Elephas maximus indicus: one gene and its partner. The protein of the gene in region 2 purifies or fractionates together with the protein of the main gene of each other region. This does not show direct contact. Links are inferred from orthologs where the notes say so. Each region holds a gene or a part of one and is shown on either strand. Other genes may lie near its edges. The genes, in order: PPP1R11 and UBXN2A.

Evidence for each region.
Region 1: the proteins of UBXN2A (region 2) and PPP1R11 purify together in Homo sapiens (affinity purification with mass spectrometry; 3 studies listed by BioGRID and IntAct, counting the BioPlex papers as one, with this or other methods). This does not show direct contact. The link is inferred for Elephas maximus indicus from reciprocal best matches to the Homo sapiens genes UBXN2A and PPP1R11.

Annotation. Positions count from the first base shown.
Region 1 is NC_064819.1:89,723,624-89,734,020, reverse strand, and holds PPP1R11 (E3 ubiquitin-protein ligase PPP1R11), read right to left. Parts: upstream 4,132-10,397; 5' UTR 3,965-4,131; coding exon 3,896-3,964; intron 2,797-3,895; coding exon 2,688-2,796; intron 2,236-2,687; coding exon 2,033-2,235; 3' UTR 986-2,032; downstream 1-985. Other genes in the region: RNF39 (RING finger protein 39), read left to right, coding at 1-366; POLR1H (DNA-directed RNA polymerase I subunit RPA12), read right to left, coding at 6,956-6,980, 9,767-9,876, 10,063-10,163, 10,365-10,397. UniProt on the Homo sapiens protein: Atypical E3 ubiquitin-protein ligase which ubiquitinates TLR2 at 'Lys-754' leading to its degradation by the proteasome.
Region 2 is NC_064830.1:41,456,025-41,466,508, reverse strand, and holds the start of UBXN2A (UBX domain-containing protein 2A), read right to left. Parts: upstream 4,746-10,484; 5' UTR 4,518-4,745; coding exon 4,484-4,517; intron 1-4,483. Other genes in the region: ATAD2B (ATPase family AAA domain-containing protein 2B), read left to right, coding at 5,275-5,484. UniProt on the Homo sapiens protein: Acts to repress the ubiquitination and subsequent endoplasmic reticulum-associated degradation of CHRNA3 by the STUB1-VCP-UBXN2A complex in cortical neurons.

The DNA of each region.
Region 1 (10,397 bases), on a different chromosome or scaffold from region 2:
TCTGGGGAGGATGAGGACGATGGGGAGAGCCGCTACGCCGTGGGCGCGGCCGGGGAGTCAGTGCGACGCAAGGGCCGCGTAGGGCTGTGCCCCGCGGGGGCTGTGTGGGCTGTGGAGGGCCGTGGAGGCCGCCTGTGGGCTCTCACGGCCCCGGAGCCCACCCTGCTGGGGGGCGCTGGGCCCCCGCCTCGCCGCATTCGCGTGGACTTGGACTGGGAGCGGGGCCGAGTCGCCTTCTACGACGGCCGCTCACTGGACCTGCTCTTCGCCTTCCAGGCGCCTGGCCCCCTGGGGGAGCGCGTCTTCCCCCTGCTCTGCACCCGCGATCCCCGCGCCCTGCTCCGCATCGTGCCGGCAGAAGGCTGAGTGTGGTTCTCGACTGGTCTCCAGATTTCCACATCCTCACCAAAGCTGGAATCCATTCCTGCCTCTCCCTCTTGGGACCTTCTCCTCCTCCACGCCTGCCCGTCTTCCCCAACTGACCTTTCCACGTCTTACAGGATTCCCAGGCTGAATTAGAGAGCAGGCTCTGCTCCATCAGTATGGATGAAGGACCCATGTTTACGACACAGATGCCCTGGTAGTCAGACATTCAGCTCTCACTCCAGCCTCTCCTACCTCCACAGAAGGGCCCAAAGCCTTCTCCATTCCCTGCCTTGTGCACTTGGAAGCCTCTCCTACACAAGAGCTGCCTACTAAAAAACAGATGGCCTGACTCTGGCCAAGACCTCAGGGCCCTCTGGGAAGCTTAATAGCCTTTTTTTTTTTTTTTTTTTTTGTGGACCAGTTCTCCATCCATGACTGCTTCCTATGCTCACAGCCTTTCTCCATTAAGAGCTTTCTTAAGATTACCACCTGTACGTACTCACAATGGAACCAATGGTGCTACCTCTCCTCTCTACCTGGGAATGGCCCAGACTCCCCGAAACAACCCTGTACATAGGCTCGCATCTTTCCCCATGTGTATAAATGGGCCCGTATTTAACACGTTTTGTGACCTTGGGTTATTTATTTTGTGCATCTGTGGCAATAAATGAGATCTCTGGTGGTATGGATTTGATTGATCTCTGCAACCGTGCATGTCAAGAGGCATGAGAAGTGATACTCAGATCCCAGTAAGGGGTGGAGAGGACCAAGAGAATTGGACATCTGGGCTGGCAGAGGCATTAAAGCCTAACAAGGAAGGGGTAAGAGTGTGAGGCACACACCCCCATCTCTCAGCTCCCGCCTTTCCCTCCCTCCTCTAGGGACCTAGGCCCCTGGGACTATGTTGGATCTGTCTCAGAAGCTGGAAGACCGATGCTGAGGAGACGATTCTAACTGGCCAGTTTCAGAGCCAGTTCTTTCATGAATCCTAGATCTCTGAGAAAGAACACGACTATTTCTTGCTCCATTTTCCATTACAGATGAGAATGACAAAGACCTCTCTCTCCTAACTCCTCTAGACAGAATGAGGGAGTGGTCAGAAGGGGAGGAGAGGTAGGGCTGGGAGCCCTGAGGTCTTCCATGAAACCTCACATCCCACAGGTGAGGACTAAGAGTTAGGACTGTGTAAATACATTAGTGGAAGAGCTCTAAGCCAGGATTAATGGGCATAGCTGGGGCAAGATTGCCTGGAATCTGACTGGGACCCTGGCAGTGAAAGCTGGGGCTGTTGAAAGCCCAGTTTAAGTGTTTGGGACTCAAGTAGAGTTCAGGGGACTGAGATAACTGGATCCCAGGACAGGCTGTTTGGCAGTGAGAACAAAGGGAGGGGACTAGAACCAAGATGCCTAGATCCCTGGGGAGGGGAGGATGGGTCTTGGGAAGAGAAATCAGGGCTGGGGGAACCCAGAAGCCCGGGTTCTGGTATAGCAGCAAGTCAGAATTCCAGGATCTCTGTCCACCCTCCTCTTCTTCTTCCCTCTATCAGGCAGAGAAGAGGGAAGGAGGGGGACTAGAGAAGGGATCAAACCATGAGTTTAGTCCCCAAGTAGCCACATGGATACATTCAGGGCCAAGCAGACAATGGAATGGTGGGGGAGAGAGGAATTTAGTGCTGCATTGGCCCTGGAGGGGGCTGAGAGGGGTCAGGAGGCTGGGGAGGGGTGGTGGGGGTTGGTTCCTGGGATGTATGACGCCGTCCTTTGCGGTGGCCCCGGACACAGTGTGTATGACCACAGCCCTCCTCTTCCTCCTCATCACTCTCCGTGGAGCTCTCGCCAAAGGCCCGAGGTTTCTCATAAATACAGCAGCCTAGATTTGGAAGTGGGGGGAGGAACCCAGTTAAAAAGAAGAAAGTGTAAGATGTAGAGTCAGCTCCATTCTCACTGGATCTCAGTGAAAATTCCTACATCTACCACTGCCTCCTCCTACCTTCCAGGATCCAGCTTCCCCAGGCTTACCCTCTGGGACTCACAGACCCAACCCTTATGTCCTGGGCTCTCCTTTTATAGAGCCAGGAATCCAAAACCCCATTTCTCTAACCTCTGCTACATCTTGCCTTCAGACCTAGGCACACCCCAGTTCTAGCCCTCTCCCCACCTCTTTCCCTCTATTATTAACCTCCTCTCTCTAATGCCAGAGAACCAGCAAGACAGTGACAGGATCATAAGCATCTGGGGTCCTTGGGGTGGCCAGTGGATATAAGAGAGATCTGCAGAGGGGAGCCAGGACCTAAGGGCTACTGTGGGCCAATGATTACTCACATTTTGATGAGCGGCGCCCCATGTGCTCGTTGTCCACAGTGTCACTCGTCCATTCCACCTTTTTCTCTGGCTTCCGTTTCCGAAGTTTGATCGTTAGGCTCCGGTTCTCCTGGAGGGTTAAGACAGATGGGCATACCTATCTACTCCCCTCCAACAGACCATTCCCACTCCCTCCCAGGGGCCTTTTCTCGTCCCTTTCCCAGCTTAATCAGTACCACAAACGCAGTACAAGAGGAGCTGAGGGCTGGGAAAAGATAAAATAGAACAGGTCTTTGGCCTCAGGGAGTCCCCTGAGGAAGATTGAAGAATTATTTCCTGTTCTTGATATCCAATAGTGCACGGAGAAGACACAATTCCTAACCTAGGGAAGGTCTCAGCATATGTTCAAAGGAAAATATAATCCTCGCTCTATCTCCGTCTTCCTCCCAAATCATACTTGGTGGTATTAATACATGAAAATTATTTTCTCAGTCCCCAATGCCTAATCTTTGATCTTTTCTTTATTCAGACCCCCAATTCCTTTTTTTCCGTTACAGAAAGACCTCCATTCTCACCCCTCCCATCCTCCAGTTCAGACCTTCCTACTTCCCATCCATCTATTCCCTAGCATCCTGGCATATCCAGTAACGACTATTCTAAACTTCCTTAATCCAGGCATTAAACCAATGCAACCCTCTTCCTTTGAAAGCAACTTAATCTCTATTTTTGCAAAAATGCAACTTATTTCTCCATCTCACATCTCCCCTCTCTGATTTCTCAAAACACTTGTCGCCATCTCCCTTCTTCCCTCATTCCTTCCACTCCTCTTTACATTCAATTAAAAAAATATTTATTAAGTATGCTTCCGGTTGAATTCCTCTACTAACTGGCCTCCAGCCATGCTTCCTTACACGGCCCTTCATTCCCCACCCCCCAGCGCCCTCCTTGGTCCTCACCCCCAATTTCTCATTCTTTCATTACTTAGTTATACCACCATCACCCCAAGCAGCATCACCTATATCCTAACTCTAAGCCACTGCATGTCCTTTGACTAGCCGCTTGCTCCATCCAATTATCCCCAGTATCTTGTGATTCTCGAAACCCCAGATATTCAACCCCACTCCTCGCATATCCCCAAGCGCAGTTCCTGGAGCAACTCTCTAATAACCTGTCCCTCCCTCCCAATATCTCCCAGACCCCTAAACAGCACCGCCCCCCGCCTTTCTCACGGGCTCAGTTGTCACGGTAACCGTTGTCTCAGTGACGGTCTCACTCATCCCGGACCCTGCCTCGGCCATGGCTAAGGCTGAGGAGAGGGTGGAGGGGAGGAAGGGGTACAAGACACCCTTCCCTTTTTCAGTATTTCTGAGATCTGAGAGAATCGGTATCGGATTCAGTGTAGTAGCCAGGACCCTCCGCCTTCTTTTTTCCCCCTCCTCCTGGGCGTCCGCTTCCCCACCCCTGGGATAACCTGTCCAACCCCACTTCCGGCTCTCCGCTTCCGGGTGTGAGGACTGCTGTAGTTCCCCTTCTCCCTGCCCCCTCCCCTCAGCTAAAGCGTCAGAGCGCAGGCGTCCCCAGGTTAGTTCCGCCCTCCTGCGCAGGCGCCGCAAGAAGAACTAGCTATTTGGCGGAAGGAGCGTCACTGCAGGGGAGCGTCACTGCAGTGGGTTGAAACCGACCGGGTAGCTCGTGAAAGCGCACTAGAGATAAAGGAGGAGGGGCGGTCTAGTAGAGGTGGGATGGGCCCGGCGCTGCAGACATCTTGCCCCGCGGGCTACGGCTAGCCCTGGCGCGAGCTTAAGGTTTGTGATGTTCTGTAACTGAGCCCCAGACCCTTAACCCTTGCGGTGAGGGTTGGGTGGAGAAAACTAAGGGGCAATAGTAAAGACCCTAGAATGGCCTATTCCCGTTTCCTGGTCGTTACTCCTGGGAATTAAGGAGAGGAAGCCTTGGTGCAGTTGAAAATACACTTGAGGAATCAAACGATCTCGGTTCTAGCCCTCGCCCTGTACCTGTAAATGTGCAGGCAAGGCACTTCATGCATCTTCAACTTGGGTTATTCCAATTACTGTGCTAGGCCCTGGGAAACCCCGGTGGCCTAGTGGTTAAGAGTTCGGCTGCTAACCAAAAGGTCAGCAGTTCAAATCCATCAAGTGCTCCTTGGAAACTCTATGGGTGGTTCTCTTGTGTCCTACAGGGTCACCATGAGTCGGAGTTGACTCGATGGCAATGGGTTCAGGTACTAGGCCCTGAAGATGGAAGCGCATGAACTACTCACTCCCATACTAGTGGTAAAAACAGGCACGCAGATAATTACTATAAATCATTAGGATATTAAAACTGAAGTAAATTTGTGAAACAATTGCCAGCGTACTCTCGCTTGAGTTGGTTACTGGGGTGGAGATGAATAAGACTAAGCGAAGAAACGGCCAGAAATTACAACATAGGGCAATTTGTGCTGCAATAGAAATATATACAAGTTCTTGGGGAGCAAAAAAAAAAATTGGTAAAAAAGGGAACCGGGAGGTGGGCAAAGGCTTTTTAGATTGAACAGCTGACAAAGTCAGAGGTGTGTGCACAAACGGTTTTGTATTGCTGGGATGTAAGAAGAGTGCCAGATGACACTTGATGGGTATGCACTGGTTATATGGGAGGCCCTGTATGCTTTGCTATGAAATTTGGACTTTATCCAGTTAGTGTATGAGCCAGGTAATGGCTTAAAGTAGGGTGGAAACATGCACAGATTTGTTTCAGATTTTGGGAGCGGGGCAGGAAAGTCAACTACAAGAACATTCCAAGTGTATGGCTAGGAAGACTGCCCTACCCATCTCTCCAGGTTGCTGTAGGGATAAAACAGGGTGGTGTGTTTGAAAGGTGTGAGTATATGAAGAGACACACAGTTGTGTGCTACATTTATCTCCAGGGCAGTTGAATGAATGATTTCTTTTGTAAGGATCAGCACAAAGCTGATTCCTGAGGCAGAGGCTGAAGATGTTCCAAACGTCCAACTTTTCCAAACTGCTGTACCACTCCATCATCTCTAACGTCAACTACTCCCCCTCCCCTCAGTACTCTCCCTCCAGTCTTTGGGTTCCATAATTCGCTGCAATGTCTCACAGAACTCACAAATTGTACTTACAGTTAAGTGATTTATTAGGGAAGTAATAGGGTACAGCTCAGGACCAGTAACTACTCAGAAGTAACAGGAACAACTCAGGATACAGTTCTTAATCAAGACAGCTTCTTCTCACCCTCTGCTGCTGTGCCCTGCTTGGGGCCTTCTCCGGCAAGTTACAACTCTTTAACTCGGTGTCATCTCATGCTGGTCTCGTGGTTCCTGCCAGCTTGCACCACTATCACTCTTGCTATTGCTGTGCCGCGGTCTCTCGCTGTCTTCCCTGTTACAACTCCTCCCTCTATTTCCCCGGTGTCTCGCTTTAAGCCTAGTGGGATGTCAAAACCGACCAATCCCCTTGTTAGGGTTCCATAAACCTTATGTGCATGGTCCCAACCCCACAAGTGTTCCATGTACCTTATTTGCATTAGCAGCAAGCTGTCCAATCCCCTTGGTGGGCCAAAAGCACCTTATTTGCATAGTCCCACCCAGTCATTGTGCAGAAGTCACAAAGACTATGGCTAGAAGGGCCACGTTAAGTAATTCACTGCATCACAGCAGCTAAAGAAAAAATATTTCCATTTAAGTAATTTCTTGTTCACTGTCATAAGTATACACTGGTACTCCCTGGTATCAAATTTGTTGCCCAAACTTATAAACCAAATAGATGCAGATTTTTGGTTGAACCTCTCACTGTCCAAACTTCCACTTTTGTTTTCCTAAACTCAGTAACCAAATAGATTTAAATAGTGAGGGAATACTTTTAATTGCTTTTTTATATTACCATCATCTCTGGTTCCATTTTTTGTCCTTGGGTTTTTTGTTTTCTTTGTCTTATATTACTAATTTATATTATCTTTCTGAGTTGATACATTTGCTGAAAGAATATATCTCTGTAAGCTCATTTACATTTCTTTTGAAATAAGGCAAATTAAAAACAGCATATATATGTTAGAGTCTTCTAGAGAAATATAACTTTAATAAGGAAACTTAACTAGGGGTTGGAGTGCTCTGGAAACAACGGTAGTCCCCACATGATCTAATCTTCCTTCTGAGAACAAGATATTGCAACCAACGATCATGGACAGGGTATCTAAGGACCCAATACCCTTCACCTTCCAAGGAAGAGGAGAGGGAAGGAGAAATTGTTGAGTAGCCCAGAAAAAAAACATCAAGAGTCTTCCTTCTCCTGGAACCTATGGAAAAATAAAGGACTCAGTACATTAGGCCAAAGGAAGAGTTTGTAGCAGTGTAAGATGAGACATTCAGTTAAAGAATTAAGGAAGAACTTTTATTTATGCCACTGTGGAAAACTAGATTTCTTAGACAACGTCAGGACAACTAAAAACACTGTGACTAAAAAATATATATGATGAACTATATGACCTTGAGGTGCACAAAGATTTCTTAGAACACAAAAAATATTAACCATAAAAGGGGGAAAAATGGATAAACATCAAAATAAAAAACTTCTACTCATAAAAAGTTAAGAAAATAAATAGGCAAGCCAGAGACTGGAGAAAATTCTCTTTCTAAAATCCATTGATGAGTTGGCTAGAAAGTACAGGTAATCTTTTCACTGGTCAAAAATGATGTAAAACCAGGAATCCAAAAAAGTAAGTTAAAAGTCCCCTGCTACCTTTTGTGCCCCTGAACTACTGTTTTGACAGCCACACGGAGCATAAGAAACCAAAGACAAAACCTGCAACATCTGCTAGGAGATCCCTATAAATCTGCACACCACCCCCACCAAAGGGCTACCGGTCTATGTAAAAGTAAACGAATCCATCTCTGCAGAAGGGGAATGTGACTCAATAGGTAGAGGGAGAGAAAGACCTTGCCTGAGAAGTTCTAACCATAAGCTTGGCCCTTACATGGTTTTACAGCCCAAATTCATACTACCTGTGCGGTTTGAAAAACCTGAAGCTGAGAATTTATTTAAAGTGATTCCAGCTTTGTAGTGCCCCAAAACCAAAAAAACCAAACCCAGTGCTGTCGAGTCGATTCTGACTCATAGTGACCCTATAGGACAGAGTAGAACTGCCCCATAGAGTTTCCAAGGAGCGCCTGGCAGATTCGAACTGCTGACCCTTTGGTTAGCAGCTGTAGCACTTAACCACTACACCACCAGCGTTTCCATAGTGCCTCAAGACACCTGAAAAAGCAAACACAAATGCTGACAATACAGCATTCACCCCAAGCCTCAAAAAATTCCCATAAAGTTCTAAAAAACCTGAGTTTATAGTAAAAACACAAAAACAAGAAAAGCAGCACCATGAGCCAGTCATCAGAAACAACAGCAGCATCAGATCACAAAGGCTGTAAAACCAAAAAACCCACTGCCGTCGAGTTGATTCCGACTCATAGCGACCCTACAGGACAGAGTAGAACTGCCTGATAGAGTTTCCAAGCAGCACCTCGTGGATTCAAACTGCCGACCTCTTGGTTAGCAGCCTTAGCACTTAACCACTATGCCACCAGGGTTTCCATAGATACCAGAATTACCAGAAACAGAATATAAATAACTCAATTTAAATGTAATATGCATTTAAATTGAACTAGTTATTTTTAAAAAAACACTAAAAAATGACTTAAAAATGACTAAGATTTGAAAACTAATCAAGTAGAACTCATAAAAATGAAAAAATAATAACCGAAATAAACTGAAGAAAGAATTAGTAACTTAGAAGAGAGGCCTGTAGAAAATACCCAGAAGGCAGCATAGAGAGGAAAAAAGATGGAAAATATGAAAGACAGTATTATAGACTGAATTGTGTCCTCCCAAAATATGTGTTGTAAATCCTAACCCCTATACCTTCAGTTATAATCCCATCTGGGAATGTTTTTTCTTTGTTTTATGTTAATGACGCAGTATTAGTATAGCGATGTGTCTTAACTCAATCTCTTTTGATATATAAAAGAGCAGATTAAGCAAGCAAGCAGATGGAGGAAGACAGATACCATGCCACATGAGGATCACAAGAATCAAGGAACAGAAGCTGAAGAGACAAGGACTTTCCTCCAGAGCTGACAGAGACAGAAAGCCTTCCCCTAGAGCTGGTGCCCTGAATTCAGATGTCTAGCTTCCTGAATTCAGACTTCCAGCCTCCTAAACTGAGAAAATTTGTTTGTTAAAGCCACCCACTTGTGGTATTTCTGTTTTGGCAGCACTAGATAACTAAGACAGACAGGTTGTAAGAAATAGTGAACAGAGGGTTTACTACAAAACTAATTGTTGTTTGCCAGTGAGTCAATTCCAACTCATGGCAACCCTACATGTGCAAAGTAGAACTGCTTCATGAGGTTTCAGAAGCAGGTCACTAGGCCTGTCTTCCAAGGCACCTCTGGGTGGGTTCGAACAGCCAACCTTTCAACTAGAAGGTGAGTGCTTAACCCTCTGCACCACCCAGGGACTCCTTACACAATTAATTAGAGATCCAGAATGTGAGAATTAAACATAGGGGAAAGACAACATTCAATGGGATAATGGTTAATCATTTATAAGGTTGTTTAAGAAAAAAAATCAATCCCTAGTTTTGGAAAGTCCAACAAATCCCAAATAGGATTAATAAAAGATAGCCACATCTTGACACATTATAATGGAACTACAGAACACCAAAGACAAAGGCCAGTTCTCAAAACCATTCAGAGTCCACACTCTTTACTAATTCTCACCAAAGTAAAAGTACCTTGATTGCAGTGGTAGGCTCCAGCATAACATGGTGGCCACTAAGCAATACCTGCCTTCTGTATTTTTTCATCTTCTTATAAATATTTTTTAAAAGTTTAGTTAACTGCTATAAAAAGGGTAAGAAAGAGTAATTTACTTAAAAAAAAAAAGGCCACATATCTCCCTATTACCTAAACTGTACAGAAATGTTGGATGAGATCAAAGAAAAGAAATGTTTAGTAAAAATTTAAGCCACTGTATTTTAGTTAGTAAACAGACTGAGAAAGCAGAGGAAGAGGAAATAATACTTACTTGCAGTTGGTACAGGTGTAGAAGACAGTTTGCCCTTCATCAGCTGAGCGCATCTGTCTGGTATGGTATGCCATTCCCTCATGACCACATCGGGAGCAGCGTCTATCAATCTGGGAAGAGAACTAGTGAGGCAGGGGAGGCCTAATCAAAGCCCCCTACTTCTCATAGGAATCAGGCTATCACAGACATATCTGCTCTAAAGACCCCTCTTCCCTCTTGGAACTGGGTCCAAAACCCTCCAGATCTTTGCAATCACACTCTCCCCCTATGGACAGTTCTTGACTTCATTAACTTACCACAGGTCCCTGGAACTCAGGCCCTTCCTCTACCGACATAGGCATGGCTGTCCCCAGTTTGTGGAACACAAATGAAGTTTTGACAACCTTTCCTTCAAAATCTGCACAAGAAGTAAGAACTGTTTGTAAAGTCGAAGAGAGGCCCCATATAATCCCCAATTGTGTCCCCTTCTGTACCAAAGGTACAAGTGCCTGATTTCCTGCTCCAGAGTCCCTTCCCCAATCCCGCCCATCTCGGGTCCCCAGGTCTCCGACTCTTCCACCTTGGGCCCTCCCGGGACCATTGAGTACGAGTTTCTCACCCCGCACGTTGACGGAGAAGCCACAGCGAGTGC
Region 2 (10,484 bases):
AGGCTGGGTACATATCAGCCCCAGAGTGTGAGAGCTGGATAAGGGAGGTGGAGTGGTTGGAGTGTGGAAAAAAGGGACCAGTCAGTCTCTAGCTAGGGCCTCAAAACTGGGTCAAGATGGCATTTTAAGAAAAATCTATATTATATTGGGTCATTTGGGTTTTAGATTTTGCTTCAATTTGTCTTAAAGTTGTGTGTTTTACAGAATTCTCCCTTTTCATCTATATTGTCAAATTTATTGACATAAAGATATTTATGCTATCACCTTATTATCCTTTTAATGTCTGTGGATATCAAGTGTTGTTCCTGATAATAATTATTTCTGTCTTCTCTCTCTCTCCTCTCTTTTTTTAAAATATGTATTGTACTTGAGGTGAAAGTTTACAGTGCAAATTAGTTTCTCATTCAAAAATTTATACACAAACTGTTTTGTGACATTGCTTGCAATCATTGCATTATGTCAGCACTCTCTCCCTTTCCCATTCCACCCTGGGTTCCCCATGTCCTTTCTTCCAGTTTTCCGGTCCTGTTATGAGTTGGAATCGACTCGATGGCAATGGCTTTTTTTTTGTTTTTGATTTTTCTGCCTTCTTGTCTTTGCTTTTGGGCAGGTGTTGCCCATTTGGTCTTGTATACTTGATTGAACTAAGAAGCACGTTCCTCATGTGTGTTATTGTTTGTTTCATAGACTTGTCTACTCTTTGGCTGAAAAGTGGGCTTCGGGAGTGGCTTCAGTTCTGAGTTGGCAGTGTGTCTGGGGGCCATATTCTCAGGGGTTCCTCTAGTCTCTGTCAGGCCAATAAGTCTGGTCTTTTTTTGTGTGTGTGTGAATTTGAATTTTGTTCTACATTTTTCTCTCGCTCAGTCTGGGACTCTCTATTGTGATCTCTGTCAGAGTGGTCCGTAGTGGTACTCAGGCACCATCTAGTTCTGGGCTCAGGCTGGTGGAGGCTATGGTTCATGTGGTCCTTTAGTCCTTTGGGCTAATATTTTCCTTGTGTTTTTGGTTTTCTTCATTCTCCTTTGCTCAGGATGGAAAGGGACCAGTAGATGTATCTTAGAGCTTTTAAGACCTGATACTACTTACCAAAGTAGGATGTAGAACATATTCTTTATGAACTATGTTTCTCTCTTTTTCTATTGGTTGGTCTAATGAGAGTTTCACATCAAAGATCATTAAGGTGTCATAGGACTGGGCACCATTTTGTTCTGCTATACATAAGGTAACCATGAGTCAGAGCCAACTTGATAGCAACCAGCAACAAGAAGTGATTTTTACTATTTTTCACCCAAAGAATCAGCTTTTGATTTCACTGATTTTCTCTATTTTCTATTTCATCGATCTCTTCTTACATGTATTATTTCCTACCTCTACTTACATTGAGTTGCTTTTTCCTCTTTCCTGAGATTCTGAAGGTGGAAGCTTAGTTCACTGATTTGAGATTTTTTTTTTGCTTTTATAATACATACATTTTAAACTATTAATTTCTCTGTAGGCGGTGGTTTTGTGTCTTAGTCATCTAGTGCTGCCATAACAGAAATACCACAAGTGGATGGCTTTAACAAAGAAATTTATTTTCTCATAATCTAGTAGGTTACAGGTCCAAATTCAGGGCATCAGGTCCAGGGGTAGGCTTTCTCTCTCTGTCTGCTCTGGAGGAAGATTCCTTGTCATCAATCTTCCCCTGGTTGAGGAGCTACTCAGGCGCAGGGACCCCAGGTCCAAAGGACCTGCTCTGCTCCTGGTGCTGCTTTCTTGGTGGTATAAGGTCCCCAGCTCTCTGCTTGCTTCTCTTTCCTTTTACCTCTTGAGAGACAAAAGGTGGTGCAGGCCACACCCCAGGGAAACTCCCTTTACCTTGGATCAGGGAGGTGACCTGAGTAAGGGTGGTGTTACAATCCTACCATAATCCTCTCAACACAAAATTACAATCACAAAATGGAGGACAGCCACACAATACTGGGAATTATGGCCTAACCAAGTTGACACATACTTTTTGGGGGCCCCATTCAATTCATGACATTTAGCTACATCCCACAATTTCTGAAACACTTAATTTCATTTTCCTTTAGTTCAAAATATATTCTAATTCCCTTTTTGATTTATTTTTTTACCCATGTGTTATTTAGAATTATTGTTTAATTTCTAAATATTCAGGAATTTTCAGGTAACTTTTTATTATTGATTTCTAATTGTTTTTTTATGGTCAATTTTTCAGTTTAAATTTGCTTGTCATTTTTATAAGCTTTTGTTTATTAATATTTTCTAATCTTTCACTTCTTTAAATAGCTAAACACTTGTTTTATATATCTGAATATAAATTTTTGTGGGTCTTATTCAGATGTCAGGAGGCTTCGTGGCATAGTGGTTAAGCATTCGACTGCTAACCGAAAGGTTGGTGGTTTGAACCCAGCAGCCACTCCTCTGGAGAAAGATGTGGAGGTCTGCTTCAGTAAAGATTTAAAGCCTTGGAAACCCTATGGGCAGTTCTCTGTCCTGTAGGGTCCCTATAAGTCAGAATTGACTAGATGGCAATGGGTTTTATTCTGACGGCTATTCTTTTTCGCTCGCTGTTTTACGTAACTTTTTCTTGTGTGTTTTGTGAATTTCTTTTACTGTGAGTCGTATTCATAAGACTTTGTTTTTTTTGCATCTCCTGTTAAAGGTTCATTCTTTCAGAGGTGATTTTTATTTGCTTTTGCTTTGTGCTTAGGACCACTTTTGACTCAAGTGTATTTAGTCTAAATGATTATCCTGAGGGTCTTCACACCTATCAGATTTGGTGAATTCAGGCTGTAAATAGGAAGGAGGACCAGTTTGTTGTTTTGAATTCTCAAGGGATATATTTTTTATCCCTTATTCTTAGCGTCAATTCTGGGAAAGGCACTTTTCTTTGCTGTCGTCTGGGAATGATGGAAAGGTTGTTTACTCCTAATTTGGTCTTGTACTTAGGATGAATCCTTTTGCTACCAGGATTTTGCAGGGCGACTGTTAGACTGATACTTTGAGCAGGTTCTGGACTTGGTCTCCTGTCCTTTGCATCTCCTGAAGCAGAGAAAATAGAAGGTCTAATTTACTGGGGTTGAGCAAATGCATTGAGACTGAAAGCTGCCTTTAGGGCTTTGCTTACTTGTCTGAATTCTTGCTGTTACTCAGTGTCTTGCTGGTTCGTGGATGTAGTTTTAAATAATGTCAAAAGAAAAATTCTATTAAGACTTTTTAGTTATTTTCACTAGTTCCTACTCTGGGAAATAGGCAACTCTTCCAAGTCTTTTTCAGGCTTTCCTTTGTCCATGTTGCCTTTGTATGTTGTTGTTTGTGGCTTAAAGAGCATCTCAAGGGTCATTACCACGCAGAGGGTTTCCCTAACACCCCTGCTTGTATTAGGGGTCTGTACCTCATTCTTTCTTGTAACATTGTGTTGCAGCTCAGTAGTTCCTTGACTGTCCCTCATCCTCTCTTTGTTTGTGAGCTCCCTGAGGGCCAGAACTATGTTGTTACTGTTTTTAAATCTCCACATATCTGAGCCTGGCAGTGTACCTACTAATACTAGTTGGGTTTGGGGTAAACATTTATTGATAGTAAATGGTATAATCCATATTATAATCTTTCCTCCCGAATTTAAGACTACAAAAACAAAACAATGGAGGAAAGCACACAAATCCTTTGTCGGCTAATTTGCATACCACACACCTCACTGGGACAATTTACACACTGCTTAAAACCAGTCTCTTTCGGCAGGAAATGAAAAGGTTTTGGTCAATAATCTCACAGCTAACTGCCTCAGGAAAACCCAGGCCTTCTTCCAATCTGAGGTCTCCACACACATTAAAAGGCTGGTTTTAAGTGGCGGGTGAAGGGTCCTAGGGCGGTGCGTGGTATGCAAATTAGTGTCAAAAGGATTTGCTGCCTCCTGGAATCAGTACTGCTTTCCCAAAGAGAAAAACTGTATTTCCATACCCAGTGCTATATGCAGTTCTATTAAATGATTAGGAGCTTGGATGGCATGAATGGTCTCATTGTGATACCGCCTGGTGATTTTCGCAGAGCTTTTCTGGAGGCTTGTTTTTGTTGCTGTAGAAAACAGGAAAAACTTCTGCCCCAATAGTGGGCTCTCTACCTCTTCTTAACAGTGAATTTTTGAAATGAACATAACCCCTACTTTACAGCTGAACTTTTAATATTAATTGTATGCCTTAAATTTTTTTCTTTAAAGTTAAACCACGCATTTGATATCTTTGGGTTCGGCAGGCAGAGAGTGGGCAGTGATAAGCAAGACTCTGAGTAAGAAGAATTCGTTCCTTTGTGGCTCTGCCTTGGCTACGGTTATAGGAAACGATCCTGCCTTGCTTTGTTTAAAGGCAGAGGGTTCTAGCGTGGCCTTTTTTTTTTTTAAGCTATTCTGTGCCAGACACTGCAGATCTATTTTATCACAGTTATCCTCATTTTTACAGCCATGAAAAGTGTGACTCAAGTTCAGTACCTTGCCTTAGGGGAGCTCTGGGAATCCAATTCATTTGACTGCGCCCTCGTCGTCACCGTTCCCCCGGACACCCCTTCCTCCTCCGCCTTTGCTGCTCATTCCTTGCGCCTTCCAGGTCACCTAGGGTGATGGTGGGGGTGTCTGAGGTACTCGGGCCTGGGGAGGTATGAAGGGCCTCAGAACCAATTACTCCCAAGCTCGCGCTGTCGGGTCTTCCCCAACACCCCTCAGCACAGCCTATTTCGCGGGGGAGACGCGGAAACCATAGAGATGACACAGCCCAGAGCGTCTCCTCTCTCGCAGCCGAGAGTTGACGCCGCGCCGCCGGGCGGGGCCTACTGGGAGGCGAAGCGGGGGAGAGGAGGGAGAAACCGGGAAGGGAAGGGCTGGCCGGCCTTGCAGCGCCCCGCAGCGGCCACGGTCGGAAGCGATCGCGTCGGCCCTGCGGCGCTTGAGTCCTGACGCACGGAGCGAGGGAGCTAGAGCGAGAGAGAAAGGGGCAGACATGGCGGCTCCGTTCAGCTCCCGCTGAGGAGGGCGAAGCCGGCGAAGGGGCTGTGTGTCGGCCCGGAGCATCACTCACGCCTGTCGCTACCTGCCTTCGCACGCCGACTTCCTTTCCTCTGTCCTACTCTCGCCTGCCCTCGCCCGCGCTTCGCAGAGTCCGAGCCGGCTCATCTCCCTGCCGGACTCAGCTCCGCTGGCCCTGACTGCCCGGCCGGCGGACCGGCCTTCCTCGCCTCCCCGGGGCGCGGCAGCCGCGGCGTGGGTCCCGTCTCCCTGGCCGGACCATGGTGAACACCCGGAAGAGCTCTCTGCGCCTTCTCGGGTCCAAGTCGCCTGGGCCTGGGCCTGGGCCTGGGGCCGGAGCGGAGCCTGGGGCAACCGGAGGCAGCAGCCATTTCATCTCCTCTCGGACCCGCTCCTCCAAGACCCGCGCTGCCAGCTGCCCTGCCACCAAGGCCGGGGGAAGCGGCGGCGTCGCTCTGGACGAAGCCCGGGTAAGAGCGCGGCAGCCCGTGTCCGGAGGCTTGAAAGTCTCGGCCCAGCCGCCGGTGCTTTGTCTGGCCGGGTTGGGGGCAGGACAGCTCCGGCGGAGACCGCTCGGGCGGCCGGAGACCCGGTCTGCGGGCGCGGTGGAGGTGGCACCGGCTCAGGAAGGGCCGCCACCGTTTCGTTGCCCCGGCTCTTTTGTGTAAAGAGCAGAACTTGAGTCCGGGGGAGAGGGCTTTTGGGGCACCTTTGCAGGGGCACTAGAACCGTCTTTTTTCCGTGTCCTTGTCCTGCCTCAGAGGGGAATTCTCGGGGAGCAGGAGCCGAGGATCGGCTCCCTGGGTGGAAGGGCTGGAGAGGAGAAGTGAAAGTTTTCCGCGGTGTCAAACCCTTCTTGAAAGTGTGTCAGCTCTTGTCGGTGTCTAACTTCAGCTTACTCTAAAACTGTTTGGGGGTGGTTCAAGTTGGTGAGGAAGTGAACAGAGAGCTCCAGTTGGCAGCCAGGCAGGGATGCTGAAAAAAGTTTATAGTTGCCGTGATACCAACTTTAAAAACAAAATCAACGCTATCGCCTCTCCAGGCAGGAGAGATCAAACAGGATATTGTAGCTTCAGCGCTGGCGATCCAGCCAGCTAACAAGCTTTCAGGTCACAAAGGGGGCATGAAAGAAGCGTGTCGAATGTTTTGGACGGTAGGTATTATCATCCCAAAATTGTATGGCTGCTTGAATGTCTACATTTTGTTGCGGGAATAGTTTATAAAAGGTGAATTAACACCTCCGTTGTCACACAATTGCAAAAGTGGTATTTGAAGTGCGTGCTTGTTTTTTTTAAAGTGGTGGAAAGATCTTGAAATTTCATTACCCACAGTGTAAAACGTAAAGCTAGATGATCACTTTAAAGGAATTGACCAGTGATAATTGACAATTATGAGATTGGTCTTGAATTCAGAACAGTCTTGCTTCTTTCTAGTAAGAGGCTAACTTACCAAGAGTGATTTGGCTGGGACATGCCATTCATCTAAAGGCTCCTTTAAATCCACACCATTTTGTTATTCTTACCGGGGAAAGCAACTTTTTATGTTCTTTAGGGTCTACAAGTTTACTGTTTGAATATACTTTTTCTCTTTGTGTCATACACAATGTTCTGACGTGAATCACAGAAGGAGTCGAGGCAAAGACAATGGAAACATTTTACCGTATTACTCTGAAATATATTTATTGTATCTTTGAAAATATTTTTGGCATTTATTTTGCTAAAAATCTGGAAAATATTTTTTAAAACTCAGTCTTATTTAATAGAATATTTTGGGGCTTAACAATCTCTTAGGTTGAAATAAGAAAGGTAAGTGTTAAAGTTGTCCAAACTATTCAGCGTAAATATTCTGAAGACTAGGTTTTCTGTGGAAAGAGTCGCAAAGATGTGCAAACTTTCTGACTTTCTGAAGCTGTCTTATCAATTTTAAAATAAAAGTAAATTTAAGAAAAGTTCTGCCCTTTACGCTTACATACAAATAAAATATTTAGAGTATAAGCATTTAATTGTATCATGCCGTGACTGTCTATTAGAGCAGTGTCTCTACCTCATCCAAAGCAATTAGCTCATCTGTCACTGATCAGTTTGTGGTCACATTTTTGAACTCATGGATATCATTCTGTCCTAACCCCCTGAGGAATAAGGTGAGGTAATTTGTCAAGCAGCTGTTATGGGGATGTTAAAAGCAAGGATCAATAATGTAGACATGAACATTTGGTAGCTTTTAAATTGCTAGAAGAATGAAAGATATTAGAGCTCTTTCTAGAAGGATGCTAATGAAACTATGTTTTAAGGACTTCTTTAAAATGTTTTAAGACCATGATAACAGGCTAACGAAGATATACTTTGAAATATTTGTTTTTCAGTTTTAAGATTTGCGTTTGGCTCTAGTAGATGGTGCAGTGATCTAATTGCTTTCTCAGAGATTTTAGAGATTTGCTAATCATACATAGTGATTGGTCTTTTAGGATAAATTGTAATTCTACTGGATTTATTAGGTTTTTGGGCTATATATTTATGATGCAGACTGTATATTCCTTTGTTGTATATTTCTGAAGTGGATTGATTTGAGTCTGGTAAGCTCTCCCTGTAAAGTTGGTGTTATGTGACAGGAGTTTAGTACTTGGTTCACATAAAGCACTCTCCACGGCTCTGGGGTCTGTAATAGACATTTGCTAGTGCCTGTGAAGTCTTAGTTGATAGAAAAAGGGGTTGCTCATGCTGTTGCTTTTAGGAAACTGATTTTTGTAGGAAGAAATGTATTCCTTTGTAGGATATGTGATTGAGGAACTTTTCATGTTTCACTTCTGTGCTGTTGTTCACTTAACCCTTTATGCTGATTTTTCCCTCCTTCCCCTCTGAGTCTTTTTAGATTCTTTCTTTCACTGTGTCTAGAGGCATATGATTTACTCTAAAAAGCCATAGTACTAAAGGCTATTCTTATAGCTTTGCCTTTTCCCCAGGTAGTGTATATATATGATAGGGGGATAAATATAGGATACATTTTGCAGGTTACTGAAATTATTTTCTTGTGCCCACACTTTTAGTGTCAAGTTGAATTGCAGTGCTATGCAGTTAGCTGTGATCTCTGCTATATACTATATATATATATATATATTTTTTTTTTCTTTTTGGCGTGCATGAAGCTTGACCTCTGTTAATCTGGCCATTAGTAAATTAGCATTTATTTGCTCTACCTAAGTGCCATCTCAGCAAGCAAACTAATACTGTCCTCACAGAACTAGACAACAGTCTTTGAAAAATATTTCAATTCTTTTCCTACCTCTCTTTGTTAGGTCTGTTTGTGGGTACTCCTGGCTTTGTCACTAGCTTTTGGTCTTTTTGACGTGGTCACTGACTCTTTTAGAGTTCATATCTTAGTTGTGAAGATCAGAATAAATACTTTGAGTAACTTTTTAGGTGAAGTGCTGTATTAATCCTGGGTCTTTTTGTAATATGCTCTTTTATCAATTTGTGATCCTCCTTTTCTATCACTCATGGTATTTGCCAACATAATACAAGCACAGCGGTAGAAATTGAGGGTTAATCATGGAAAAGAAGTCTGAGAGGGAAAAGTAATAACATGTATCACTCTCAGATGTGTAGGGAAAAATACAATTTCCTCAGAGTAGGGCAAGTTTTTTTCTATCAAATTCAGAAGTATTTCTCACTTGGAGCACAATATAGAAGATCTTGAGTAATGTGGGAAACAATGTCTTCTGTCACAATTCTGAACCAAAAGCAGAGGTGGAGTTCATAGGATCATCTCTGGTAGCAACTGAAAATGCAACTTTATACATTCATTTACTGGCCATTTCTGTAGTCCAAATATACAAACTTTCAGTTGTTTCTTAGCTCGTGGATGAAGCTTTTAACACCTGTAGAATTAAATACATAATAATTCCTTTGATCATTTTCCCTGACTAGTATTTTTTTTCCCCCTTCTTATCTCCCTGTGTTGTTCATGCTTGTCTTCTTTTTAAGCTATACCTTTTGTGAGATTTGGGGTGGGAGAGGAAGTAAGTGCATGTGCTCAAGCCACAATAGTCTTCTTTTTTAACCAGTCCTTTGATAGGTCCTTGATTACATGTCTTCTGAGTAATTACAGGTACACCCATAACCTCTGGAAACCTGCTGAACAGGTGATAGGAGTACCACTTGTTCTGAGAACTAAGGTGCCTAGTCAGTGTCTCCACTGAGAGGAGAGTGACCCTGTCTCTAAGACCCAGTCCGTTGTAGAAAAGTGATACATATATTCCTTTGAATTGTGTGTTTGGCATTTCTTTTTGGACAAATACAGTGAAGTTTCATTTCTGCGCATTACTTAGTTGATTACTTGGTATTTGGGTTTTTACTCTTGTAATAGGAATATTGTCTGTTTCTCTTACTCCTGCCAGGGAGACTTTGTGAAAAATGCATTGCTGAGTAAAAAGCATTTGGGATTTTTTGGATAAAAAGTTCTATGGAAGTACAAAGTTAGAGGAAAAAACCACAGGTAAAATGTGTTAACTTTATTTAAATGTAAGCTGGACATTTTAGAGAGGTAAGTATTGTATGTGGCTTACGTTAAATGATAGAAAAGACCTCTACATTAAAGTTAATAGACTTCAACTTTTAGGTACTTTGTATTAGCTTTTAGGTACTTTGAGTATGTGCTGATGTCGGATCATAAACTTCAGATGCTTTTGAATTAGTGTTTTGGTATTAAATTTTTTTTTTTTAATTTTTAGATTCTTATTGTAGTTTTATCTGGAGGTATATGATATTTTTGTATGATTTCTCCCCCAGGCTCTTCTTTTGGAGTAGGTTATAAGCTCCATGAGGGCAGGCACTATGTCTTTTTCCTACTAACTGCTGTATTGCCAGTGTCTGACACATGACACTCAATAAATATCTTTAAATGAATGAATGAATAGCGTATTGAGGCACTGATCCATTTGTGAAATGATTCGTTAAAATTATGGTGCTAGGACTTTGAGACTTGAGGATAAATAAAACACAGTCCTCACCTTTTAAAAAGCTCCGTTGCCATCAACTCATCTTTAGGACTGTATATATACACACGGTGTGCATATGAAAAATTATTAATAAAATACATCAGTTCGAGGTAGGTGCCAAATGAATGACATAGATATTCAGTGTGAAAAGAGTTCTAATACTTCACTCAGTGAATGTTTTGATGGAGCTGCTTTTTTTGATGTTTTTGAAAGACTTTTTTTTCATAGCTATATTCTGAGCGCCTACAACAGTGCCTGCCGGATACAGTGCTCAATTAGTATTTTTTGAATGAGTTGAAAGTATGCCTTCTCATTTTAAATTATTTTCGTATTGTCAGCCTTCACTTTTCTTCTTTTTTTTAATTGTACTTTAGATGAAGGTTTACAGAACAAACTGGCTTCTTATTAAACAGTTAGCAGTACACATACTGTTTTATGACATTGGTTAACAACCCCACAACATGTCAACACTTTCCC